Cricetulus griseus: one gene and its partners. The protein of the gene in region 1 interacts with the protein of each later gene in a pairwise test. Links are inferred from orthologs where the notes say so. Each region holds a gene or a part of one and is shown in the gene's direction. Other genes may lie near its edges. The genes, in order: Siah1, Numb, Ube2k, Upp2, Prpf31, Ctsk and Inha.

Region 1 (4,091 bases):
CCATGTGACTGGGGCCTAAATAGGGCGAGAGGAGCTTCCTGTCACCCTGGTGTGGCTTTTGTAGTAATAGTAGACAAAGGAGGCAGCTTGAGGTGACACTTACCCAGTAAAGAGAGATGGGCGAGCAGGGGAAAAGGGAGACGGTAAGTGTCCTTGGTAGAGATCCAGACAGATGTAGCCGGTGGAGCTGCGATGTGAGGCCAGTGTCCAGGTGGCTGGGTTCCTTGGGAGATGGAGAAGGCCCTAGGAGTCAGAGATACATTCATGGCATAGACAAGGACAGGCGTGGTTAGAGCATGTGGGCGTTGGGGGAGAAGTAGTGAGACAGCGGACTCTAGAATTTGGGGTCAAATTTGATAGATGACAGGAGTTATTGGAAACAAGTGATCTCTACAAACCTTAGGAGAGGCAAATCAGCAGCTTGATTCAGAGCAGCCCAGGTACTTGGAAGGGAGCTCATCTATGCCATTCCCGGCTGTGGGTACCGGATGAATGAAAAAAAAATGAAATTAAAAAGGAAGGATATGACTGCTCCTAGGTATGGTGGAGGGGAGGTTTATTATAGATAAAAGGGAGAGCATAGCCAGAGGCAGGGATATCTAGGAGAGTCCAGAGTGAACATGACCCTGAGCCAGGTCATGTTAGGAGAGAGGAAAGGGGGGGAGGAGAGCCAGGAGAGTACAGGATAGACAGTGAGGGTGTGCATGTAACCAAAAAGGCTGGATTATATAGGGAAGGGCAGCTCAGCCCCTGGGCTGGAGAAATGTAGGGTAGGAGGTGGGGTGTGCCAGCCATACCCTGTAACAGGTAGGGACTGAGGGATGCAGGGAAAACCTGGCAGCCAAGTCCAATTTGTATGTTAAATAAGCACCTCAGTTAACTACGTGTCTTCGGGGTTTAGACCTCACATCACTCATCTATAACCCTTAGCATTGTAACTTTATAATAAACATGTAATTTCTAAGAATTTTAGGGAAATTAAGGGGTGAGCAGTCTTGGTATTCTACCTTTTTATTTTCTTTAAATAAAGAGTGCAAGACTTAGAGAGATGGCTCAACAGATAAGAGCACTTGCTACTCTTTTGGATGTTTTTCAGTACCTAAATAATGGCTCATAACTGTCCAAACTCCAGTTCCAGGATATCCTATGCCCTCTACTGGCCTCTGCTGGCATCATGCATGCAGGTGGTGTATATATACACATGCAGGCAAAACACCCATGCACATTAACAAATGTATATGAGCTGGGGACATAGCTCAGTTGGTGGAGTGCTTGCTTAGTTTTTCCAAAGGTGTGGCACCACACAAAACTAGGTGTGGTGGTGAGCAGTCCCAGTACTCACTGGAAGTTGGTGAAAGCTGGATTATCAGAAGTTCAAAGTCATTTTCAGACTCTTAGAAATCAGTGGTAGTCTAGGATGATTGAGTGAGTCCTGCCTCCACAAACAAAAATTCTCCCAAAAGAACAACAACAAAATGTGGCTAAATGCCCTAAAAATGTTGTGACAAAATTAAAGGCATTAATACTATTTATTTCCTTTTAGATAATAGCTATTTAAACTTAATGCCAAAATAGGCTTGATGTGCAATTTAGAATGTGTAGTTTATATTTCTGTTCTTAAAGCTGTTTGTTGTAGTCTAGTATTAAACAGTTAGGTGGAAGTGATTGAATACAATAAAGGTGGGCAAGTGGTTGGAGTTGAAGTTGCAGAAGGTGTGTGAAACCCATTGTATTGGGGCACTCACTGCCAGTTTCTGGTTGTATTTGAAGATTGTCCTAAGTGTGATGTAATACCAGCTTAAGCTTTGAAGATTCAGCTGACACCATCCAGGTCTGAAGTGTATAGGACTTTATGGGCCAAGGGTAGTGCTTGTTTAAAAACAAGGCAAGCTACTCTAGTTTAATGAGGCCAGTTAAGAAAACTTTCCCAGAGTGGGATGAATATATAACCTCAATTTGGAGGTAGAAGTGGAGGTTTACATGCCCTGAGTGTGTTTACATTCTCACTGCACTGGAAGGGGGCATTTGAAATAGATTGGCACACAAGCGGCAGAGTTAGAATTGAGGAAAATAGTAGTTGAGGCCTGGAAATATTGAGTGAGTTGTGGGGGGGAATGTTTTTCTTGAGAATTCACAGGACAAAGCTGACATTAGGAGTGCTTGCCTGGTTGCGCATTTCCCTTCCTCCCTGTGTGTTTCTTACCCTAGAGACTTAGGAAAGCACTGAGATCCTGACCTCCGGAAACATGTTCTACGGGACTTAAGTGCTGCCAAGTGCACAGGCTTCATGTTGCCGTGGCGTCTGCCAGAGCTGTCCAGGTGGTCTGTGGGGCGGGGCTTGGAGCGAGGTCCGCCCCTTCTCGAGGCCCTGCCCCAGGGCCTGCCAGGTGGTGGAGCCTAAGCAGCAGGACGCCAGAGCTGCTGGCCATCTTCTGCTGACCACCCAGTTTAGAGTTCATGGGAGGTGTTGTCTCTCCTGGGGACAGGTCTTAAGACTGAATGGAAGTGAGCAGCCTTCTATGCTTAGGAGCCAAGGGCCTTGCAGGGTCCTCTGGTGCAGGCTGGCCTTGTGGCTTGCAGGAACCTGACGCCTCGATTCTTATGACCTGGAAGCCGCCCGAACCCCTTCTGCATTCCTGGAAGGGAGTCCTGCTCGCATGCTTGCCGACAGTTAGGACCAGGACCAGGAAGAGGAAAGGTACTGACGTAAACACATCTGTTTCCGAGACAGAAACTGGACTGCACGAATCCATAGATTCTGGTTTAGGCTTGGTGAAAGTCGGCATTGAGGGCTCAGTGGAGCTGTGGCAACTCCTGCTTAAATCTAGCTTTTCAGGTGTGTCCAGACTTCTGTGGACTTGTCCTTGGTTTCTACCTTGCAGCTGCTTGTGGATGAGAGGCTTTGTGGCTCAAGATGGAGCCACACTCCATCCTTCTAACTAGGGAATGGTGTAGCAGTTATCTGTGCTGTCATACTTCCAACCACATTTTGTTTATCATGCTGGGTAGAATATCAGTGTGCTTTCTCTAGTGTTTGGAAGGCAATAAAAATACGATGTAACATGAACCCAAACTTACACTGATAAGTGTTAGAGGTGTTTTGCCAGGTCAAAGCACTGGGCTAGTGTTTTTCTTCTGAACTTGGCTATATTGTGTTTAAATATAAACTGAGCTCTTTGATGTGACCGGAACTGTTTGTTTCGAGAAATCACTTTCCAAAATCTGTGTTCTTTTAAGTGAGCCACAGTTAACATGGTGAAGCAGATGGGAAACCCATGGCTTTGGTAATGCCAAGGCCATTGACCTAAAGTGGATAAATCAGCTGCATAAAGAATTTGATCAGGTGGAAAGTAGAATACAGAGGGGCCATTTTATTATGACACCTGGATCACAGGGCTTCAGATGATGAGAGCTAATTCATGTTGTATTCCTCCATGAGTCTGAGCTGTTGTGGTGGAGTTTTGTCATACTGTATGTGTTGGAGATGAAACCAAGGGATATAGGCAAGCTAAACATTTGTTAGTACTGTTTTGCCCTTTGAACTTGCTAGTATTGCTTTAGTAACAAAAGAAAAAAAATTAAACCTCCAGTGCTGCTCTTAGCCCCCTTATTTACAATGTTACTGTCTACTAAAATTCCATTTGTATTGACTTGGTTACATTTGTAACTTCAGTTTTTTTGAAACTTAAAGGTCTTTGCAACAGAGTGATTATAACTGGGAGAATTACTATATTATTTAGTGTGGTCTCAGGGAGTGCACTATTAGGACATTGATCTTTTGTCAACGTCTGAGATAAATTGCACCCTGCCAAATTCCCCAGAGGCAGAGTCCTGGGGAAAGGAGCTTATTGTGCTTGACTGTCACTGGCTGGTCCTTCCTCCAGATGACTCTGAAATCAGTGTGTATAGTTGGTGTTTGCTGCAGCCACACAGGGAACCCAAGGGTGCAGGGGAGTTCTTTGCTTATTGAGTCTGCCCCTCTCCCCATCCTGTGTTTGTGTCTGTGTGATGCTTTTACCCTTACTTCCTCCTATTGTTTCCTGACTTTCCCTTCCCTTTGCATGTTACATGAGATTTGTGCTGCAGAATGG
Region 2 (3,500 bases), on another chromosome or scaffold:
TTGTTCCACTTAATGTAGCATATTTCATGTACCAAGCATTAATGTTTAATGCTAAGATATGAGTTCTATTTTTGTTCCATGTTTAATTTTTTTCAGATCCATGAATATATAAAGTGATGTATCTTTTGCTGTAATTTTTTAGATGACAGGCCACATCTTAAATTTACCCTTGTTAAAACGTATGTTAGAAAGTGATAAATGAATCAGCCAACTCAAAGCTCAAAGTTGAAGTAAATTTTAAGCGTTAGAGGTAAGAATTTATTTAGGATTCAAGCAATATTCTGGGTATCATTTTGTATTTAATAGAAAGTGACCCTAAATGCTTAAGATATGTAAGATCACTTAATCATTACTAACTTTTCTTGAGACCTAAAGTCAGGAAACTTTTTTAACCAGGACTTAATTTAGAAGTGGATAAGGTTGGGCAGACAAAGAACAGGTTTGATGAGCAATTTATCTGATTTTTTTTTGTTTGTTTTGCTTTTCAAGGCAGGGTTTCTCTGTGTATCAGCCCTGACTGTCTTAGAGCTCTCTCTAGACCAGACTGGCCTCAAACTCACAGAGATCCCCCTGCCTCTGCCTCCTGAGTGCTGGGATTAAAGGGGTGCACCACCAAACCCAGCTATGTATGATAATTTTTAAGCACATTTCAGACTTTTGACTTTTTTTTAAAGATTTATTTATTATGTGTACAGTGTTTTATATGCATGAAGTCCAGAAGAGGGCACCAGCTGTCATTACAGATGGTTGTGAGCCACCATGTGTTTGCTGGGAATTGAATTCATGTTCTCTGGGAAAAACAGCCAGTACTCCTAACCTCTGAGCCATCTCTCCAGCTAACACCACCCCTTTTTGTTTTGTTTTGTGTTTTTTGTTTTGATTTTTTGAGACAAGGTTTCCCTGGAACTTGCTTTGTAGACCAAGCTGGCCTCAAACTCACAGAGCTCCTCCTGCCTCTGCCTCCCTAATGTTGAGATTAAAGCCATGCGCCACCACCTCCCAGCTGACTTTGTTTTTTGTTTGTTCAGAATATTAATTGGCTTAAATTTTGATGTTTTTAAAAACAACAATGACTTAAGTATCTTTTAAAACTTGTATCATTTTAATTCATGTTTTGGATGACATTTATTTTGAAAAGGGATCTTGCTGTCTTTGATCTAACAATCTCTGCCTCAGCCTCCCAAGTGCTGGGATTGCAGTTTGTGCTGCCATACCAGGCAAATTTGTCATGCTTGTGACCGTGTCTTTGTTTTTCGCTCTTGTTGGAAATTAATACTGCCCCTTGGTGGCTACTTGTAGCAGCTCATTTATGAATTTTGTTCTTTTCTACATTGATTGATGATAGCTGCTGGTGGTTGAGTGGGTCGGTAGAGACGGGTCTCTCTATATAGCCCTAGAGAGCCCATAGCCTAGTCTTGTCTGGAATTCACTATGCACCAACCCAGTTTGGCCTTGAATTTGCATCATTTCTCTTGCCCTAGCCTCCTAAGTGCTGGGATTATAGGCATGAGCCATACTGTTTGTACTGTTAGCTAGTGGCTTGTCACCATTGGGTCCATTTCCCACCTTTATATTTTACCTATTGTCAGGGACTAAATACAGTGTTGGAATTAGTGCTTGTGACAAGGCCATTCCATGACCTGCACAAATTAATATAGATACCGAAGTCTGAGCTTCAGGTCCATAACCTTTCTTTGAGCAAGAAACTATGTTGTGGTGATGCACAAATCTCTAGCATACAAAGAAACAGAAAATATACTTCATTCTCACAGAGAAAGCAAAGACCCAACTCCAAAATAACTTAGGTGTTGGAAGCAGCAGACAAAACTTGTAAAGCAGGCATTACAACTCTACTAAGGGATGTAAAAGAAAAAAATGCTACTATCAAATAAGCAACTAGAAAGTCTCAGAAATTATGAAAAAGCAGCAAAATCCTAGGGCTGGAAGAGAAAATTGTACTTCTCAAAATTACAGTACTTGAAGTGAAAAGAAATCCAGTTGGTTGTAAAAAGGGAAAGTATAGAATACTAGGTATCAGTCTCATTTGCATACCAAAGGTACTGGGAACTCACTTTCCTATGTTTTTGCTATATTTGCAAATAAACCAGTAACATTGATTTATGTATGCATACTGTCAAATTGAACGTGCCAGTTACTGTGAAAGAGCTTCAAGCTAGGACCAACTGACACATATGCACTTTAGAATATGAAGTGATGCTTCCTAGTCAAAATCTGTTCCAACTATGGGATACAGCTACTGGATACAGCTATTCATAGCTCAGTTGAAACCTACGTAGGGGACTCTGCACTGCAGAATGAACATCCAGTGATGCTTCTGAGAAGACCACACAACTAACTCATAAGCCTTCTCTTGCCCTGTGCTTCCATTTCCTAGGACCTCATAGTTGACCAGACAATAGAGAAAGTTTCTTTCTGTGCCCCAGATAGGAATTTTGACAGAGCCTTTTCTTACATATGTCGGGATGGCACCACTCGGCGCTGGATCTGTCACTGCTTCATGGCTGTCAAGGACACGGTAAGTCCAACATGGTATATGCCATTATGAGGAGTCTACCTGAGCTGCTTTCAGCCAATGTCAGCCAGGCAGTTCCACTATACTTTTAGTAAGTACTCGATGCTAAGGCTGATCATAAAAGTACCTTCTTTGTAAGATCTTATTCCTTTTATTCAAGTAATTCTCACTCTTGGTCTGAGCCTGTGAGAGGGAAGTCACAAAGCCAAGCAGTTGGCTAAGATCTAGAGTCATTAAAGGGAAGCAGAGACACCTGGTGAGCTCATTGGCTGATACCATGATTCATTCCCCAGCACCACAAAGAAAGGAGGAAAGCAAAGAATGGGGGTGAAAGAGGACAATATGTTGCCATAGTTACTAAACTTTAGTTGGAGCTTTTCATCAGTAAAGTGCTTGCAGTTTGTTTGTTTGTTCTTAGAATCTAGTTTGGGGCTGAAGAAATGGCTCAGTGGTTAAGAGCACTGACTGCTCTTCCAGAGGACCCAGATTCAATTCCCAGCACTCACATGGCTCATAACCATCTAAGCTTCAGTCCAGGTGATCTGATGTCCTCTTCTGGTCTTTTTGGATACCAGGCATGGACTGCAGTTTACAGACATACATGCAGACAAACTACCCATAAACATTAAAAAATATATATATAGGGTTTGTGTCTGGACAACATTACACACCTTTAACTTTAACCCAAGCACTTGAGAGGCAGAGGGAGGTGGATCTCTGAATTCAAGGCCAGTGTCAGCCTACAGAGCAAGTTTCAGGACATCCAGGGCTACACAGAGAAACCCTGTCTCAAAAAAAAACAACAACAACAACAACAACAAAAAAAAACGAAGGCATATTAAAAAAGAAAGCCATAAGTTGGTTTATGGTTTCAGAGGGTTAGAGCCCCAGATGGCAGAGCAGCAGAACAGCTGAGAGCCCATATCTTTATCCACAGCAAACAGCTACAAATAGCATTGTAAATGGC
Region 3 (4,149 bases), on another chromosome or scaffold:
AAGAGTTTTTATAATTGATGTCTACTCAGGGAAACATTGAGATGCTTCAGAATTTTGGACTCGTAGAAGTCTAAGCACCTCCTTATTTCACAGATGAGGGAATCGTAGCTGACAATGGAGGTGGCATGGGACAGAATGGGGAATAAAAAGTCCTCTCGGCTCTTGCAGCACTGCCATGACCCTTCCGCTTCAGACTCCTGAAATCTGGGATTACAAGTGTGGACCACCACACGAAGCTCCTATTAGTCTTAGAATATTCAAGTGATTGATTAAGTGACGAAATACACGAAACATACTCCTAAAATAAAACTTCCACTATTTCAAAGTACCTCTCAGTACCCAAACTATAGTATTTGCTTTAAACTCTACTGACCACTTTCAAATCGCCTTCCAACATTATTGTTGACCTAAAACATTTTACTCCTTTATCATCTTCTCCATTCAATTATACTCACGGCTTATTTAAATCTACCAGTGCCAAACACCTATGTAGGTCTAGAGCTCCTTCATCCTCCTAAGGAGTGTCTATTTCTCCAACTTTCACTATAATCATAACAGATTTTCATATGCTTAATTCAGCCGTTCTCACAGCGTAGTCGCTGAAAAATAGGCAGCCAGGTATCTTGCTAAGAATGCAAATTCTTAGGCCCATCCACACTGTAGGGATAGGGCCTAGCAATCTTAAGCTCTCCAGGGATTTTGAAGCACCTCAAGTTTTAAAACAATGTTAGTTCTACAGCTCAACATTCATTATCTAAACAGGCCAAAGATTAACTTCTGGCTTTTAAACCAACCACAGGCCTCTCCCTGGCAATACCTGTAGCAAGCACAACCCGTGGGATCCAACCATTACACAACTTCAATGTGTAATACCTGAGATGACCGAATAATAGCTGCGTTATCATGGTTCCAGAACAAAAGCTACGGCAGTGGATTTCCCGGGGGGGTTTACCAACGGACGCTGGGCAGGACCGAGTTCCTGCATAGCTTTTTCCTCGGTTGGACACAGGGAGGCACCTCAAGCCCGTGGGCTCTGGGTCTGGCAGAGTTAGAGCGGGGCTCAGGCCGGGTGGGGCCTGGGGAACCCGCCAGGTGGGGCTCCCACCTCGGCTCCGAGCCTCCCGGGATAAGGGGCGGAGGGCCAGGGGAGGACCGGCCAGGCCCAGACCCCGCTGACCGGCGCGGAAGCCGCACCCTCCTCGCCCCAGACGCCGGCAGGGCGGAGCCACGCGGCCGAAGCCCCGGCTGAGACGCGCGGCACGGCGCGGCGCGGGCTCGCTGCTGAGACGTATGGGGCTGCCACAGGAGCGGCTGCGCCGCCCGCCCGGGTCAGCGTGGTGCGCATGCGCGGACCCGGCGCCATTTTGGTGGCCGGGCGCGGAGGTGATTCTACACTGAGGGGGAACGCGGCGGCAAGGGTGGCAGTGGCAGCGTTCGTGTGCTCGGGTCCGAATCACTGAGGGAGGAGGCGGTGGAGGAAGAGGTGGCGGCGGTGGCGGTGGTCGTAGCGGTGGCGGAGGAGGCGGGTACGAATCAGCTGCGGGCAGAGACATGGCCAACATCGCGGTGCAGCGAATCAAGCGGGAGTTCAAGGAGGTGCTGAAGAGCGAGGAGGTCAGAAATGATCTACCGGACACCCCCATCTCAGCCCGGGGCGGGAGGGCCCTCCCTTCCGCGACCCCGGCGGTCCCGGCTGGCCTCGCTGCGGCCGCCTCTCAGCCGATGGGGAAGCGGCGCTCTCCCCTCCTCCTCCTGCCGCCTTTCCCTCCCCTCCCCGGGCCCTGGGATAGACGGTCTCGCGGGCGGCCGGCCGGCCTGGGGAGGAACGGGGTTTGGGGGACAGATGCAGAAGCACTTGTCGGGGACACGTGAGCTCTGGGGAGAGCCCCGAGGCGGAGGCAACATCTGTCTGTGTGGCTCTGGGGTGGGGAAGGAGCAGGCCGAGAAAACCCGGGAAGTGGGTTGGGGGAAGGGGAAAGATAGTAACTAGATCCCCGGCAGCAGCGCACCTCACAGGCCCACACTTTTCGGGGTACTCTGGGTATTGCTTGCCAGTCCTTTGCTGTCTTTTCTTTGAGGAAGGAGCCTACAGAGTCCTTAGGTATGAACGAAAGGAAGACATTCAGTTACTCCCTTGTAGTAGTGTTGGGGGACACATGGAGACATAATGGTCAGTCTCGTATTTGGAAGGGGTGTTGAAGCAGTTTTCATTACATATAGGAAATGAATTCCAAATTAGATAATCATCTCGTTTCCACGCACTCCACCAGTCACTAGGCCTCATCATTGACATTTAGTTGTTTGTCTGATGAAAGGCAAGAAGTTTGTTATTAAATGATTTGAACTAGGAAAAAAGGATGAGTAGCTTATTTCAAAATACTGTTTACCAATATCAGAGTCTCTCCTAGGGCAATGCCTCTGTGACTAGTGTACTGTGAAACTTCATTATGATGTCCCTTGTAGGTAACTTAAGTCTTACTTTTGAAAAGAGGCATATTAAAAACAAGAGATTTCATCAGATTCGCATTGTTGTAGCTCATTATTGAGTTAGGTTTGTTCTGATACAAAATATGTCACGTAATAGCATACTAAAAAATAAGACTACCCGTGAGTCCTTCAAAATTTAAATACGTTAATGCTGGTCATACTTATGTGAAATATTGAATTTTAACAATCTGACTCAGCTTTGCAAACAATAGTACAATTTTTCAGATCTGAATGAACAAAAATCCCAGATTTTCTGTGATTGAAGTTAGCAAGAAAATTCTGAAAGTAATTATCTTTCTCAAGGTTCACATTCCACTGTCCAATAAGCAGTGCTATATGTTCTTATGTGCTTGGTATTTTGATAATGCCAATAACGATCTTTAAAATTAGATATTTTAAGTATATGAGGAATTGTTACAAATCCTTTAGCACTCCAGCATTATTTGTGCCACTGAGTCTGCAGATAATTATCCATCTTTGGTAGAAATTTACTTAAAATTGAAGTGACTATATTTGCAGGCTTAGTGAACAGACTAAGAAATAAGTAGTGATCTGTCTTACATAGCATGAACTCTGACCTCTGTATTCATTTGCCAAAACTCTGAATGGAAGGATGACTTTGTATTTTTGTGGAACAGTGCAGAAAGTGTGAATGTCTGTATTCACATACATTTTAACAGTGATTTTAACTTTTTCTTTAATAAGCAAATGTACTTTGGGATTGTAGACATATATTCTTAATGAAAGATGAGAACTGATTTTGTTGTCAGCAGCCTAAAACGTTTTTTCTACAATAAGGTTGTACAAGTCTTTAGACTTGTAATGCTTTCTTTTATTTAAAAGTGTCAGGTTACTGGCCTGAAAATCCATATATCCTCTGCTTTATGTGATGTGACTTTCTATTTAAGTGATGGATTGAGGAGATGACTCCTTGGGTAAAGGAGGCTTGCTGCCAACCCTGATGACCTGAGTTCGGTCCGGAGGACCAACAAGGTAGAAGGTTATCCTTTGACCTCTATACCCACACATGCAAATAAAAGTTCATTCTCAAGAATGAGATTAAAAAAATTGTCATTATCTCTTAGGAAAACAGGGATTGCAAACACAAGTTATTCAGGAACAGTGCCTTTATAAACCTTGTAGGAACTTAGGAACCAGGAAAGTAAACTGCAAAGGATACTTGGAAAAGATCAGATAAAATTTAATATTGTAAACTGGTCATGGTAGCACAAGCCATTAATCCCAGCACTGAGAGGTAGAGGCAGGCTGATCTTTGTGAGTTAGAGGCCACCCTGGTCTACAGTGTTCCAGATAGCCATGGTTGTTAGAGAAACCTGTCTCAAAAAAAAAAAAAAAAAAACCAACAAAAAAAACCATTTAGTAATATAAAAAGCACTACAGTTAGTTCTATTCTCAGTATTTTGTTTCATCAATGTTTTAGTATGTTCAGTTCCATAGATAGGCTGTTGGTTAATTTTCACCTTAATGAAGGACCCATAGTGTAATCTATATATTTTATTTAAGTATATAAATGTAATTTTTCCAATAGCTGATCAAGTAATTATTTCAGCATGTCACCTCAGTAAATCTCCAGTGTACCAGGTTTAATTCATATGCTGGTGTTTAAGAATTTTGGTGGATCTAATGACTTATTTTTGACCA
Region 4 (4,247 bases), on another chromosome or scaffold:
TGCGTAAAATTACAAGTGCCTGGTGGGCAGTGGCCACACCAGGGCTCGGTTACCTTGGTTGTTCCCCAACATGTGTTTGCCTTCCCATTCTGAAAACTTTGCTGACTGTCTACTATGAACCAAAAGAAGTCAAAAAAGAAAAAACAAGAAGAAATTTGAGTGTTTTAAAAAAAAATGGTCTTCAGCAGAAGTTAAGATCCAGGGTACTTGCTTCTTGTCTATTATGTACATTCTTAAAGAGAAATCCACACACATCAGGAAATGCCATATATCTTCTATTTGACATTTGCAAATATTTTAAGTTCTGATTTGCTTAAAAACCCATGGCACTGAGGTTCTTGAACTGGTGCTCCATACAGAATCCCATAGGAACCATGAGAGAAAGGGCCATGATGAAGTAGATTTCCTTACTCCTGAATGAAATGCACCAGCAAACAGTGAATTCATATTTCTCCTATTTCTTCCTTCTCTTTTTCCTTCCCTCTCACCCTTCTTTTTCCTTCTCTTCATCCCTTCTTCTTTCTTTCTATAACAGGGATTGCTTTATGCCTGTATATGTTGTGGAACTCTGTAGATCAGACTGCCCTCAGGCTTCCAGCAATTATCCTATCCTGACTCCTAAGTGCTGGGATTATAGGTCTTCACAATCACAGCAGGCTACCAATTAATAAATTACTTAAAAAAACACTCTCTTTTCTGAAAATGCTAAGCTATAATTCTTTATTCTACCTGCATTGACACCCAGAGACATGTTTTAGTGGACAGTAGAATCAACTTAGTATTCAGTTAAATGAAGAGGCCCTAGGAAAGCAGCTTTGTTTAACCATCGGACCTTTTGTATGAACTGAGAGGGCAAAGTTCCAACTAGGAGGATTTCTTAGGTCCTGACTTTGGATGTTTTCCTAACTAGTAATCACACAGAACAAAAAACCAATTGGCAAGTAGTGAGAAAGAATTGGAAAATGGAGTATTTGAGAACTGAAAGTTCTCACGTGTACTGGACACATTTTTGATGAGGTTGGCATGGAAGCCAAAAGCAGGCTTGTGTTCATATTCAGTTGTTTTCAAAGCAAATAAGTCGGTGTGTCAAGCCAGCCCTACGTTGGGACCGAAGTCAGATGCCATGGAAAGGTTCAGTGATCAAATCTGATAAGCTAACCAACCTGGTCAAAGAGAAAGGATGCCACACCTTCCAAAGGAACCTATCTTCTTGGGGGAATGATGCTCTGAGAGCTTGGCTGTCATATAAAAGGCCATCCTGGGATGGTGTTTCGAAATTGATAAAGTGGCTTAAAATGCACAGAGAAAATTTTAGAAGAAAACTTCAGAAGGAAACCTAAGTTTGAAGGGACGGTGCTAGTCTAACTTGGAGCTGTGTGGCTGTTATTGGATCTGTAATTTAACAGCAGGCCCTAATAGTGCTTTTCCCCGATATCTTGCACTGCAGAGAATGGCTTCCATTTTACCTGCTTCTAATAGACGCATGAGACCAGACAAGAATACATATGAGGGGTGAGTAATTTTGATCTTTTCTTGTTTCAGCCAGGTGAGTGTGCCTCGTATTTTATTTTAAGTGCTCATAGACATACCCTCAGAGTTTTATACTTCTTTTCACACTGGACATTAAATAATTGGAATACTGTCCATAATACAAATCGACATAAAAGCACTGTAAATTTTTCTTCTTTGATACCTGTGGAGTTGGCAAGTTGGCTCATGTGAGAACATAGAGTAGAGACTGGTGGGATGGCTTAGTGGATAAAGGTGTCTGTTGAGCAAGCCTGGCTACCTGAGTTCACCCCCAGAACCCATGTAACAGTGGAAGAAGAGAAACGACTCCACAGAGTTGTCCTCTGACCTCCACATGTGCCTCCTAGCATGTCCACTGCCACATAATTTTATAAAAAATAATAAATAATACACATAATAATAACATATAGAAAAGAAAGTAGGTCAAAAGAACATACAAAAACCGTAAGAAGTTTAACCAACCCACAGGAACAGACAAATTCAAAGTACAGCTTGGAATTCACTGTGCCCTGAATTCAGAATTTAATTCCAGGACCAAAGGCTACACATGAGAAATAATAAAAGGGCCTGGTAGTGCCTATGGCATTTAAACTGTGTTGAGTGTGTCATGGGATAATTTCATATGCTTTGTGATAGACAGACTTGACATAGAATCGACTTCTGAAATACCATGGATGTTATTCATCACATAGGTAGGCATAAATCTGCCAAAGCTGCCTGAAAATTAAACTCTAATTTCTGCCTCAGGTTAACAGAACATAATAGAGCATTAGTCTTCATGACACTTAAGGAATTTTTGTAAGTTCCCTCTGACTTGCCGAGAATTGTGGGAAATGTCGTGATGTAAGCGTACAGACAGCACTCCATTCGCAAGCTCAAACAGACCTCTCTTGCCACTTTCATTCCTTCATGGAAGCCAAGGAAGCCAAGGGAAAGCCTCCCAGTTAGCACTTTTATTTGGTGACCAATATTTAGAGCATGAGTTAGGAAAAAGAGTGAAGTTAGGCTTTAAAAAAAGTTTTGAGGAGGAAACAGTACGTGGGAGTCTATTTGGTGTTAGCTACAGATTTTAGAAAGAACAAAGCATTGGAAGAGCCAGCTTCATATGGATTTGAATTTGGCGTGAAGTCTCAGGCAAGCCTTTCCTCAATGCTTTTAAAGACATTCATTTATTTGTTTTTAGTTGAAAGTGATAATTGACATATTTATGGGTACAATGTGTTGATGGGCCTTTGTTTGTTTGTTCAGTTGGCTTGCAGTGTTAGGGACTGACCAAGACCTTATGCCTACTAGATAAGTACTTTGTCACTGTTCTATATCCTCAGCCCAGAGAGAGGTTTGACCTATGCATGTGTTGTAGAAAATTCTATTGATCTAGCCAATATATCCATCACCTCACCCATTTCCCATTGTTTGGTAGTAAGAATATATATGTATTCCCTGTGGTTACCAGGCAAGACGTATAGATCACTAAGCTGCTTCTTTCAATGTCACTGTGTCTGTGTTCCCTTTTAGCATCTCTTTCCATACCTCCCTAGCCTCCAGCCTTTGATATCCACCACTCTTCCCTCTGTTTTAGTGAGATTAACAGTTTTAGAGCCCACATAGAGAGAGGCTGCTAAGTGTTTGTCTTTCTGGGCTGGTGCTAAGCTTAACATGCTTCCAGTTCTAGCCAGGTCACAAATGACAGGATGTTCTTCTGTATAAAAGCTGAGAGGTCAGTGAGATGGCTCAGTGGGCAAATAAACACTTGACACCAAGCCTGATGGCCTGAGTTGGGTACCTAGGTCCCACATCATGGAAAGATAGAAACGACTCCCACAAGTTGTCCTTGGGTTTCCTACATACACACTCTGTTGTGTGTGCACATTCACACTCATACCCACAAATAAATAATTGTAAAAAAGTTTGAATAGTACTCCATCTTGAATATATTTATAAGCATATAAATACATTTATAATATATTCATAACATATATAAATATTTAAGTAACTATATATGTCACTATTGGAAATAGTGCTATAATAAACATGGGAGTACAGAGATCACTCTGACACACCAATCTCAGTTCTTTTGCATAAATAACAAAAGTGAAAATTCCGTATTATGTGATACTTCTATTTCAGTTTTTTGTCGCCCCAAAATATTTTCCCAGACTAGCCATATTAGTTTATGTGTCCACCAATAGAATACAAAGTTTCTATTCCTTGCCTCTATTCCTTGTCAACATCTGTTATTAGTGGGCTTTGATAGTAATTCTAATGGGTGTGAAGACATGCTGAATTGTTTTGAATTTTCATTTCCCTAATAATTAGGAATATTGATAAATTTAAATATACTTGTCAGCCATCTGAATCTTTTGAGAATTGTTGTTGGCTGTTTTTTACTCTTTACTTGTTTGGCTCTTTGTTCTTTTGGGGTGGTGTCCACCACCCAGTTCAAATGAACAAATCACAGACTAAGAGGCTTATTCTTACTTATAAATTCCCAGCCTTATCTTTGTTTGTTTCTAGCCAGCTTTTCTTAACTTAAATTATCCCTTCTATCTTTTGCCTCTGGGCTTTTGTCTTCTCTATTTCTGTATATCTTTTCTTTTCTTCTTATTCTGTGTCTGGCTGTGTGGCTGGCCCCTTCTTTTCTTGCTCATTGATCTTTTTCTTCCAAATTTTCTCTTTCTATTTATTCTTTCTGCCCAAAGCCCTGCCTATCCTTTCCT
Region 5 (2,830 bases), on another chromosome or scaffold:
CCTGCTCCCCTTGATGGGCAGCGGAAGAAGCGAGGGGGCCGCAGGTAAGGGGCTCTGGTGGCGCTAGAAGCTGGGAAGCGGGGTGGGAGGGAGGCTGGCACCTTCCCAGCCGACTTCCTATGTCCTGTTGACTCTCACCTTCCCCAGGTACCGCAAGATGAAGGAGCGGCTGGGGCTGACAGAGATCCGGAAGCAGGCCAACCGCATGAGCTTTGGAGAGGTCAGGCTTGCTCACAGTAGCAGTGGGACCTTGAGGGTTCTCTGCATGTCCTGCTGCCATCCCTCCCCTCCACCCTGCAACCCTAGAGCAGATCTGGGGCTACCCCAGCCGCATCCCTCCTGCCTAGCCTCTCCTCTCAAAACACCCTACCCCATGGAGATCTTTGCAGTTCTGAGCCCGCTGCCCTCCCACCCAGCTCCCCATGCCACCGTGTCTAACCATCATCCAGGAGGTCCCGAGAGAATCCACTTAGGCGCCATCTCAGTAGCGCAGCCCATCCCAGTTCTTGGCAACTTAACCAGAGCTTAGGGAGCAGTGGCCACTCTCTGTTTAGGTCAGGAAGCAGTTCTTCCTAGGGTTCCCTGCTACATCCAAGCAGAGCTAGGCTGGGCTCTTACAAGGTCATTTAGTGCAGTGAGTCCTTCAGGCATCCGTGAGACCTGCTGATTGGAGACTCCCTGGGTCCCAGTGGACAGGCCTGGGGGACTGGCCGAATGTGGCCAGCTTCTTAACAGTGGTCACTCCCCTCTCTAGATTGAGGAAGATGCCTATCAAGAAGATTTGGGCTTTAGCCTGGGCCACTTGGGCAAGTCAGGCAGTGGGCGTGTGCGGCAGACACAGGTGAATGAGGCCACCAAGGCCAGGATCTCCAAAACACTGCAGGTATGGCCAGGGCCCATGGGAGTGGGCGGCAAGGAGGGCACGGAGGTCTGTGAGCCTGCGTCATGGCCTCCCCCTCTCCCTGCAGCGGACCTTACAGAAACAGAGTGTGGTATACGGCGGGAAGTCTACCATCCGAGACCGCTCCTCAGGGACTGCCTCCAGTGTGGCCTTCACTCCACTCCAGGTACCACACCCTCTCCTACCAGGCATGTAGTGGGGTTGTAGCAGCCCTGTTGACCTAACACATGAAGAGCTTAGGCATCCGGAGCCACAACTCAGTGCAGATGGCTGGCAGTGAGAGCTGTCACAAGCTCAGACCAACTTTGGCACTGGACTCTGTCCGTGTGGCCCAGATACTCTGAGCTTCCTGTCCTCACTTTGAGATAGCCCCAGTCGTCAGGGTAGCCTCAAGGTGGGTCCCAGTGTCACAGCCCAGTGGCCCTGGACAGTATGAAGCAGAGTGGCCTCGGGTTACTCACCACAGAGGTAGGCAAATGTGTCCGGTAATGTGACAAGCCTGCTAGAATGCATACTCTGAATCTGTGCCATCTTTCTTCCCGGCTTCAGGTATAGTGATAAAGAGACAAGCTGTGCCTTTTGGGGGGGTCATGGGTTGGAGGACAGATGAACGAGTCAAGTATATACTGTATTAGGCCATGGGTGCCAGAAAGCAGCAGCAGGGGTGAAAGGCGAGTGCCGGCATTGTCATCACTGTATGGCGTGAGAGTCGCCCGAAACTCTGGCTGGTCATGTCCCTGTAAGACTCAGTTTCCTCATCCAGAATCAGACAGACAGGAGTGGTGTTTTTTTTAGCATCACCTGAGGACGTTAACAATGCTGATACCCAGGCCCTGCCCCTAGACCCACTGGGTCAGAATCTCCCGAGCTGAGGGAGACTCCAGGGGCTGTCAACAGTTCCGTGTCCGCTAGAATGTTCGGGGAATGTGACATGTCTGGTTCCCATACAGCAGGGAGGCCTGGGCCTCCCCACCTTACCTGCCCCCCTCCCTTCCCAACCCAGGGTCTGGAGATTGTGAACCCACAAGCAGCTGAGAAGAAGGTGGCAGAGGCCAACCAGAAGTATTTCTCTAGCATGGCTGAGTTCCTCAAGGTCAAGGGTGAGAAAAGCGGCACTATGTCCACCTGAAGGGGCCAGGCCCCGGGTGGCCACCCACTGGAAGGACATGGACAACTGGAGCTTTGAAGTGACCGACCTCCGGCAAGGAAGTTGTGGTGGAGGCAGCCTGCCCTGCTCTGTCCTTGGCCCAAGGCCAGAGCATCCAAGAAACGGGGTGAAGAGCCTCGGCCCGTCTCCCCAGAACCCAGACTGCTGCTGCCCCAGTTAAATGGGCGGAGGTCTTCCTCACACTCGTCTTTTTTACTTACATGGGTAAAGGAAGTGGTTTTCTAGAAAGAGTACAATTAAATGCACAGTGTCAGGCTCTGACCAGAGGGTGTGATTATTTGTGAAAGACCCAGAGGAGTCAGAGCTATGGGGTTTCCAGTCCAGGTATCTCTTCTGCTCCTGTCCTGGAATCTAAGAAGAGAAAAGCCCCGTCCATTTCTGACATCACCACCCACCCCCTGAGAACCTCAGCATCACGGCCAAACAGTATGGCCACCACAAAGCTCCAGGGCCCAACAAAGGTCATAGGATTATTGTTGACCCTCAGGCTAGATGCCTCCTTGGTCCAAGATCCACATCTGCACGGTGAGGCACCTAGGAGACCTGGGGAGTGTGTGCAGAATGCACCCAGCACCGGGCTGATTGGGGAGCCAGTGGTTTTAATCCATGTTGACTGAGGGGGCCATGCCTAAGTACCCTGCCCTGGGAGGCACAAATGCCAGCCAGGTAAGCAACAGAAACCATCTTTGGTGTGTTAGGAATCTGTGATTCTGCAGGTTAGCAAGAGTCACTGCTGGGCTCTGTTTTTCCTAGCTTGAGCT
Region 6 (4,050 bases), on another chromosome or scaffold:
TCAGTGTTGCACAAGTCATATGATGTGCTGGAGACAGGAAGTGGTTTTTAAACTTAAGAATTTGCAATTAAGTCACTGCAAGAAATTAATGAAGCCAGAGCAAATTCCTGAAAAGTTGTGAATTGTGGACTTGGTCATTATAGAATATTGTCCTTCTGTCTTGCATTTTCTTCTTACACATCTGCGGCTTTTGTCCTGTGAAGCAGCCACGTCTCTGAAAAAAAAAGAAAAAAAACCCATGGCATCTGGTTAAGATTAGAACCATTTCCTGCCTAAAGAGGGAGAGGATTGAGGAAAGGAGAAAATGGATAGGGCAAATGACACAGTGAACATATCTTAGATAAAAACTGCAAATTAGCCCTGTTCTTTCCTGGCAAGATCTGGCAAAGGAGGAAGGATGCCATGAACAAAGCAGGAAGCACACTGTAGATGGAACTGTCTCTAACCACGTTCACACTGTGCTTATTCTGTCCTCACTGGGGGTATTGGAGAAGAGCAGTGCCCAGCCTTTCCCAGTCACCGGCTCTGGTTGTCTGCCATGTATGCAGTTTTGATGGAACATCTTTGAGTTGGAATAATTGAAATCAGATGTCCCAGCACCCCACCCCCACTTCTGCCCATTATTGCTTTATCATGAAAATCGCCTGCAATTCTTTGTCTGTTTTCCACATACAGCCAACATTGCCAGCCTTATAGTTCAAAAGAAGGGATTCTTAAGCTAGGCATACTAACTCATGCCTTTAATCCTAGTGCAGGGTGGAAGAGGGGACAGACCTTTGAATTCAAAGCCATCTTGGTCAACATAGTGAGCTCAAGGCTAGACAAGACTTAGAGACTTACAAAGCAAAACCATATCTCTAAGAGACTTACAAAGCAAAACCATATCTCTAAAATCACGTTCCTGTGTGTGTGTGTGTGTGTGTGTGTGTGTGTGTGTGTGTGTGTGTGTAGTTCTTTTGGGTTTATGAATCCCTTAGGATTAATGCATGTATGTGTAATTTTCTGGTAGACAGAACTCATTTTTATAGCTCCTAAAAAGTTAAAAGGCACCTTTGTTGTGACTTTAAAAAAGCTGCTCCAGAGAGAATGACACCATGTGACAGAGTTCAATCAGAATGGTTTCTTTATTAAGGGAAAATGATTGTAAAAAGGGAAGGGGGTGAGGGGGAATCAGCCTCCATGGACAGGAGCAGTGGGCGAGAGAGGAGGGGAAAAGAGGGGAGGGGAGGGAGGAACAGCCAGGCGGGTGGGATAGGTGAGCAGGGCCCTTTTAAAGGGGAACATAGTGAACAGGCACAGATGGTGCTCTTAGTGGCAGCCTCTGAGGCATATACTGTCAGAACCCCAAAGGCAGGCCAGTACAAATGCCTTCCTGGTAATGTGTCTGCCATCATTTCCACACCCACAGGCTGGCTTAGACTGAACCTCCTGTCGATGGAAGTCTCCCCTAATTATTCCTCTCACAGGATGTGGGTGTTCAAGTTTCTGCTGCTACCCATGTTGAGCTTCGCTCTGTACCCTGAGGAGATGCTGGATACCCAGTGGGAGCTATGGAAGAAGACCCATAGGAAGCAGTATAACAGCAAGGTGCCTGGGGCCTGCAAGGGAAGCAGGGAGGAGGGCTGGGGCTTGAGGCCTCTGCTTTAGTTTTAGATTCCCTTCAATCAGAGTACAGTGCTTTGCCCCAAGCAAGCAGTCCCTATTGCCTAACTCTCCAGCTGGCTTTACTTTTGTGCGGCAGGCCCGCTGGAGGGATGGCTCAGGAACATCACTGAGTCCAGTACCCAGCACCAAAGATGTGTCTGTGCCGTGTGTATGTCTCATTATAATACTATTATGCTATGGTATCTCTAGAACTTTGCATATGTTTTTTGTTTTTGTGTGTGGACCTTTAAGTTCCCCAGCTAGATTGCAAACTCTTTTTGGTTATGGTACATTTTTCTCCTAAAACCTACCTATATAACGACACACAGTCAATGAATTTATTGACTGTTATATTTAGGTGGATGAAATCTCTCGGCGTTTAATTTGGGAAAAAAACCTGAAGCATATTTCTATCCATAACCTTGAGGCCTCTCTTGGTGTCCATACGTATGAACTGGCCATGAATCACTTGGGAGACATGGTGAGTTGCCTCTGGGATCCAGGCCCACCCACTGTTTTTACCATGGTCCCTGCTAATGCTTGGCCTTCTGCTTTGTCTCAGACCAGTGAAGAAGTGGTTCAGAAGATGACAGGACTCAAATTACCACCTTCTCACTCCCACAGTAATGACACTCTCTACATCCCAGAGTGGGAAGGCAGAGCCCCAGATGCCATCGACTATCGAAAGAAAGGATATGTTACTCCAGTCAAAAATCAGGTGTGCTTGCTTGTGTGTGTGTAGGTAGTCTGGCCTGAACTGAGGTATATCTTATGCTACAAGAATACATCATATTCTATTATTTAATCATTACCTATTTTGTATATATAGGGTTTTTTTCTGCTTTTAAAAACTTACAGTATTACAACAAGCATCTGATGCATATATTTTTGTGCTCATGTAGAAATATTTGTGCAAAGTAAATTCTAAAATTGTAGTTACTAGGACATAGAGAATTCTCCCCCCAAAGGTTTTTACAATATTAGATTCTTATCTGCAAGAGAATCTCAGTTTTCCTAGGATCTTAACAGCACAGGGCTGTGTCGTCAGTAAGATGAATTATTGATATAACATTCATTCTACAAATACCACCCTTCTCCTAGAACCAAGCAAGTAGGGTGCTAGCTACCTGGTAAAGAGTCAAGACTTCCTCCTCAAGAACTTCTTATTCTTAAAAAACAGAAAATCTGGGAAAAAGACAATTGTGCAGTCGAGGAGAGTAGACACTAATAATAGCTGACGATTCCTGAGAGATCTCTGTGCACAAGGAGTTTCTGTGATTTACATGTCAGTGAAGTCTCTCACTGCTCACAGGAGTCAATACATTAACTATAATACACTCCCTTTTCTGTTCTCACATTGCTCAGGCTGGCCTGCATCTCAGTATATGGCTGAGATTCACCTTGAACTCCTGATCTTCTTGCCTCTGCCTCTCAAGTGATGGAATTACAGGTATGTCCAACTAAGCCCAACTTATTCTCATTTTTAAAGGTAAGGAAACTGGGACACAGAGAAGTTCAGTAACAAATCAAGGTCACAAAACTAGTGTGCAAAACCAGGGTTAGACTTCAGGAGAACTGTCTCCAAAGCCACAAAGTACTGTACTTGACTCCAGTTAAAGGAAACAGTTATTACAGTTGTTATCATGGGGAACGACAATAAGGTTCACAACAAAACCAGCATTTGTGTTGAATTCACAAAATGTGTGAACATTTTTAGGCTGGTAGAAAGATGCACCCATGTGAAAATCCATGACTGACAGTTTTTCTGTATGTCTCTCAGGGTGAGTGTGGTTCCTGTTGGGCTTTTAGCTCTGCAGGTGCCCTGGAGGGCCAACTCAAGAAGAAGACAGGCAAACTCTTAAATCTCAGTCCTCAGAATCTTGTGGATTGTGTGTCTGAGAATTACGGCTGTGGAGGCGGCTATATGACCACTGCCTTCCGGTATGTGCAGACGAATGGGGGCATTGACTCTGAAGATGCTTATCCATATGTGGGTCAGGTGAGATGACACCCACCACAGTGTGGAGGCTGTGCGGGCTCTTCCCCCAGCATAACTTTGTTTCCTGTTGTTGTATCTGCTTCCCTCCCTCCCTCCCTCCCTCCCTCCCTCCCTCCCTCCCTCCCTCCCTCCTCCCTCCCTTCTTCCTTCCTTTCTTCCTTCCTTCCTTCCTTCCTTCCTTCCTTCCTTCCTTCCTTCCTTCCTTCCCCATCTCTCTCTTTTCTTTCTTCCTGTTCCTCCTTCCCCTTCTCTTTCTTTCCCTTTAATTTTTAGACAGTATCTTACTATGTATCCCAAGCTAGCCTAGCTTGGTCCCCTTTTTTTTGAGACAAGATCTCATATAGTCCATGTTGGCCTTGAACTTACTAAGTAGCTGAGGATGACCCTGAACTTGTCTTGCCTTGAGC
Region 7 (3,940 bases), on another chromosome or scaffold:
GGTGGCGGCGGTCAGGGAGCAGAGGGCGGCCCTCCCAGTGCCATTCGATCTCGGGCTCCGGCTTGCCCATCACGTAGCAGCGGAACTTGGCATGCTTGCCCTCGTTCACCCAGAAGGTCTTGGGTGCGCACTTGAGAGGCTCCACCACGGGCACGGGGGGATCATCCGGGTCCTGGGGCGGGCTTTCGTGGGGCTGGTGCACCTGGAGCAGCGCGCCGGCCTGCGCGTGGCCGTGCGCGTTGCGGGCGTGGCACACGTACACCCCGGAATCGGGCAGCCGCACAGCCTTGATGCGCAGCGTCAGGCTCGCACCCCTGCCATCCTCGCTGGGGCTCGGCTCCAGCGCGAAGTGGCTGCTGTCCCACACTTCGTCCAAGGCCATCCCATCCTTCTCCCAGTACAGCTTGGGCTCCGGGAGGCCTCCCACCTGGCACGTCAGCACCACCTCCGCCCCGCGCAACACCCACTGAGACTGGGGCCCCGTTAGGAACACCGGGGCGCTCTCCCCGGTGCCCGGCGGCGGCAGCGATTGCTCGGAGGATTGGGGTTCGGGCTCTGGAGCGGGGAGCTCCAGCACGGTGACGGCGGCCGCCGCGTAGGCCTCTCCGGCCGTGTTGCGGGCGCGGCACACGTAGACCCCGGCGTCGGTGGGCAGCGCTCCGCTCAGCAGCAGGCTGTGCTCGGCGCCGTCTTCCGGGAAGCTCAGGCGCTCCGAGGCCACCAGCTGCTGTCCGCCTTTCTCCCACAAGACAGTGGGCGGCGGCTCCCCCAGGACCACGCATTTAAGTTCGACCTCGGCGCCACTTACCACCCGCACGGGCCGCGGGAAGCGCAAAAAACACGGGGGGCTCCCCTGATCCCCCGAGCCAGCCTTCATCGCGGCCGCTGCAAATGGCACGTCTGGGTGGGCGGGAAGGCCGGGAGCCGAGACAGGAGCGTGGCGGAGTAGGCGCGGGGACTCCGGTGCCCTCCGGTGTCCGCTCGCCTCCTTCCCCTCGACCCGATCTGCAGCCCTGCTGCGCGGCGATTCCGGGCCCGGAGGCCAGAGCTCAGGGGGCAGTCCTTCCTGTTTGCTTGTGCAGCCAGGGGCCCTGCAGCCTAGTCTGCCGGCGGCCTGGCTTCCTGCTCCCGGGAGCCTCGCTTCCCAGCCCCCTCCCACAGCCTGGGCCTCTTTCCCCTCCTCCCTCCCACCTCCTGCCGCCAGGTCCCTAACTGCCGGCCAGGCTTGGGCCTGAGTGGCAGGGCGCCTGCAGCTGCCAATCCCAAAAATATTCTCTGATGACACAGCTGGAGGACAAGAGCCCAGACTGGCTCCTCCAGGCTAAGTATAGAGCAGGCGGGACCACCTGCCCTCGGCCCAGAGCCCCAGACCCAGGTCTTCTCTCCCACGATGGCCCTAGCAGCTGCTGTAGTTGAAAGGAGCCCCAGAAAGTCTGAGGGGGTTGGTACATTCTGTCTTCCTGACAAATGACACTTTCAGGAACTCATGACTGGCCAGCCTTAACACCCAAGCACCTGTTGTACCTGACGTCGACTCTCGTGTGTGTGTGTGTGTGTGTGTGTGTGTGTGTGTGTGTGTGTGTGTGTGTGTGTGTTGGGTTGTATGCTCGCATGAATGGGTCAGGTCACTTGGGGTGAACACCCTCCACAGCCCCTTCCCCCACATTCTTGGCGGGAGTGGGAGATAAGGCTCAGGGCCACAGACATCTGCGTCAGAGATAGGAGGTCTCAATGCCATGGGCAGGGGCAATTGGGACTGTAGGGCGTGGGAAGGACTGGGGGAGACTGGGGTGAGAAGGGTAGAAGAAGGCAGGCAGTAGGATGGGGAGGGGAGAGTGGGAAGGTCTTGGACAGAAGGGGCACAGGGCAGGGTGTGGGTTCCCTGTTGTCAGGGCCAAGTGAACTATGGTGATCCAGCCGTCTCTGCTGCTTCTTTTGCTGTTGACCCTACAGGATGGGGACGGCTGCCAGGGGCCAGAACTGGTGCGGGAGCTTGTCCTAGCCAAGGTGAAGGCTCTTATCCTAGATGCCTTGGGGCCCCCAGTAATGGCTGGGGAAGGTGGGAGTCCTGAAATAAGGCGGCTGCCTCGAAGACACGCCCTTGGAGGCTCCATGCACAGGACCTCTGAACCAGAGGAGGAGGATGTCTCCCAGGTCATCCTCTTCCCAGCCACAGGTAATGAAGTTGGGGACTGGCAGGTCAACTTTGGAAAGTAGCTGGTACCTATCTCAAGGGATTGGGAGCCAGGCAGATCTGGGTGTGAATGGCAGCCCCAGCACTCAGCTGGCTTTGCAGCAATGGGACAGTTCCTAAGCCTCTCTGGTCATCACCAAATAGGTGGTAGCCTCTACTACTCAGGCTGGAACCATCCAGTGGGCCTGGCACAACTGGAATATCAAAGGGAAGCTAACGTTCTACGGCTCAGGTTCCTGTCTTTTGTCTTTACACACACACCGACACCCACGCGTACACCATTTCATTGCTCTAGGTAGTTGGGACTTGAGATGGTCTCAGGGATGCAACAGAATGCTTGGCTATGTCCCCAGGAGTCTCTTTCTCATCCCTGTGTGTTTCTCATATCCCGATGACTGGAAGAGTAAAGCCCTCCTCCCACTGGGCCCCCTTCTCATCTGGCCCACAGCTCTTTTAGGGAGGTCCCCTCACTTCCCTCCCTTCGGCCCCTGGCAGCATAGTAGGAGAAAGTATGGATTTCAGATCAAGTGGAATCCCAGCCTGGCCACTTAATAGCTAACTGTCAGCCATTTCATATCTCTGGCCTCAGTGTCTTTTCTAGAAATTGGATCAGTTGTTAGAATGTTTATAATGAGAGAGGCTGTGTACTAGTGGGGCCCCGATTGCCAGTCTTCTGACAACAGTTGGTCCATAATACTTACTGTAGTCTCTGTGTATTTTGGGGCAGGAATGCCAGCTGCCCTTCCCTGGGAGGAATGGACCTCTATTCTATTCTCCTTTTCGTTCCATTCTTTCTCTTTCCCTTCCCCACGTCGCGTCCACTTTCTTTTGTTGTTCTTTTCCTTTGATTATGCATATGTATGTGTGTGTGTGAAGGTCAGAGGTTGGCAGTAAACGTCTTCCTCAGTCACTTCCCACCTTAGGTTTTGAGACAGTCTTTCACTGTTGTCTCTACCTCCTTAGTGCTGTGAGGGATTACACGGAATGCAGATAGCTTTCTCTGTGGATGCTGGGGATTGAACTCAGGTCCAAACAGTCAAGCAACAAGCCTCTTAGGAAATGAGCTGTCTCCCTACCCTGTAAACTGCCTTTAAAAATACCATTATTTTAGGGAATTTGTCATATAAAGTTTCTGATATACGTGGTGAGATACGAGTTATGTACACATCCATACACGCCACAGCCAAGATAATCACTATGTTAATCTGATGAACACTAACCAGTGTCCCTGAGGGGGAAAGCACAGAGTGAAATGGGCTCTTACACATTGCTGTTTACATTAATTAGTAAAGCCGTTTAGGAGAGATATTGCCAATGTCTTGTTTTGATGGTGAATGGAAAACTGGGGAGCCTCTGTTACTTTTCCCAAGACTCCAGAGAGTGTACGGGTCTAGGTGGAATTTAACAGTGTTTGACACCTAATCAGCACTGAGGGATGTCCTCGACATTCTTCTCATGGAGATGGAGATGTTTCCAACCCTACAGATCAAGGTTGCCGTCTCTCTTCTGCCCGTGTAGGTGCCACCTGTGAGGACCAGCCAGCTGCTGGAGGGCTTGCCCAGGAGGCTGGAGAAGGTCTCTTCACTTACGTGTTCCGGCCATCCCAACACATGCGCAGGCACCAGGTGACTTCAGCCCAGTTGTGGTTCCACACAGGGCTAGACAGGAAGAACACCGAGGCCTCCAATAGTTCTGGGACCCTGCTAGACCTGCTGGTGCTGTCATCTGGGGGGCCCATGGCTGTGC

What was found.
Region 2: the proteins of Siah1 (region 1) and Numb interact in a two-hybrid assay, tested with the Homo sapiens proteins (2 studies listed by BioGRID and IntAct). The link is inferred for Cricetulus griseus from reciprocal best matches to the Homo sapiens genes SIAH1 and NUMB.
Region 3: the proteins of Siah1 (region 1) and Ube2k interact in binary tests that used the Homo sapiens proteins (3 or more experiments, as listed by UniProt). The link is inferred for Cricetulus griseus from reciprocal best matches to the Homo sapiens genes SIAH1 and UBE2K.
Region 4: the proteins of Siah1 (region 1) and Upp2 interact in binary tests that used the Homo sapiens proteins (3 or more experiments, as listed by UniProt). The two-hybrid records come from large-scale screens. The link is inferred for Cricetulus griseus from reciprocal best matches to the Homo sapiens genes SIAH1 and UPP2.
Region 5: the proteins of Siah1 (region 1) and Prpf31 interact in binary tests that used the Homo sapiens proteins (3 or more experiments, as listed by UniProt). The two-hybrid records come from large-scale screens. The link is inferred for Cricetulus griseus from reciprocal best matches to the Homo sapiens genes SIAH1 and PRPF31.
Region 6: the proteins of Siah1 (region 1) and Ctsk interact in a two-hybrid assay, tested with the Homo sapiens proteins (2 studies listed by BioGRID). The link is inferred for Cricetulus griseus from reciprocal best matches to the Homo sapiens genes SIAH1 and CTSK.
Region 7: the proteins of Siah1 (region 1) and Inha interact in binary tests that used the Homo sapiens proteins (3 or more experiments, as listed by UniProt). The two-hybrid records come from large-scale screens. The link is inferred for Cricetulus griseus from reciprocal best matches to the Homo sapiens genes SIAH1 and INHA.

The regions. Positions count from the first base shown.
Region 1 is NC_048596.1:162,343,992-162,348,082, reverse strand, and holds the start of Siah1 (E3 ubiquitin-protein ligase SIAH1), read left to right. Parts: upstream 1-1,291; 5' UTR 1,292-2,499; coding exon 2,500-2,698; intron 2,699-4,091. UniProt on the Homo sapiens protein: E3 ubiquitin-protein ligase that mediates ubiquitination and subsequent proteasomal degradation of target proteins.
Region 2 is NC_048598.1:119,939,788-119,943,287, forward strand, and holds part of Numb (protein numb homolog), read left to right. Parts: intron 1-2,395; coding exon 2,396-2,536; intron 2,537-3,500. UniProt on the Homo sapiens protein: Regulates clathrin-mediated receptor endocytosis. Plays a role in the process of neurogenesis.
Region 3 is NW_023276807.1:132,581,975-132,586,123, forward strand, and holds the start of Ube2k (ubiquitin-conjugating enzyme E2 K), read left to right. Parts: upstream 1-1,349; 5' UTR 1,350-1,551; coding exon 1,552-1,614; intron 1,615-4,149. UniProt on the Homo sapiens protein: Accepts ubiquitin from the E1 complex and catalyzes its covalent attachment to other proteins. In vitro, in the presence or in the absence of BRCA1-BARD1 E3 ubiquitin-protein ligase complex, catalyzes the synthesis of 'Lys-48'-linked polyubiquitin chains.
Region 4 is NC_048599.1:116,114,140-116,118,386, reverse strand, and holds the start of Upp2 (uridine phosphorylase 2), read left to right. Parts: upstream 1-1,447; 5' UTR 1,448-1,450; coding exon 1,451-1,512; intron 1,513-4,247. UniProt on the Homo sapiens protein: Catalyzes the reversible phosphorylytic cleavage of uridine to uracil and ribose-1-phosphate which can then be utilized as carbon and energy sources or in the rescue of pyrimidine bases for nucleotide synthesis.
Region 5 is NC_048602.1:21,556,712-21,559,541, forward strand, and holds the end of Prpf31 (U4/U6 small nuclear ribonucleoprotein Prp31), read left to right. Parts: coding exon 1-44; intron 45-147; coding exon 148-220; intron 221-754; coding exon 755-883; intron 884-968; coding exon 969-1,067; intron 1,068-1,904; coding exon 1,905-2,030; 3' UTR 2,031-2,330; downstream 2,331-2,830. UniProt on the Homo sapiens protein: Involved in pre-mRNA splicing as component of the spliceosome. Required for the assembly of the U4/U5/U6 tri-snRNP complex, one of the building blocks of the spliceosome.
Region 6 is NW_023276806.1:61,002,486-61,006,535, reverse strand, and holds the start of Ctsk (cathepsin K), read left to right. Parts: upstream 1-1,250; 5' UTR 1,251-1,299; coding exon 1,300-1,587; intron 1,588-2,002; coding exon 2,003-2,125; intron 2,126-2,206; coding exon 2,207-2,362; intron 2,363-3,424; coding exon 3,425-3,643; intron 3,644-4,050. UniProt on the Homo sapiens protein: Thiol protease involved in osteoclastic bone resorption and may participate partially in the disorder of bone remodeling. Displays potent endoprotease activity against fibrinogen at acid pH. May play an important role in extracellular matrix degradation.
Region 7 is NC_048595.1:428,647,794-428,651,733, forward strand, and holds the start of Inha (inhibin alpha chain), read left to right. Parts: upstream 1-1,140; 5' UTR 1,141-1,390; coding exon 1,391-1,441; intron 1,442-1,953; coding exon 1,954-2,176; intron 2,177-3,712; coding exon 3,713-3,940. Other genes in the region: obscurin-like protein 1, read right to left, coding at 1-877. UniProt on the Homo sapiens protein: Inhibins and activins inhibit and activate, respectively, the secretion of follitropin by the pituitary gland.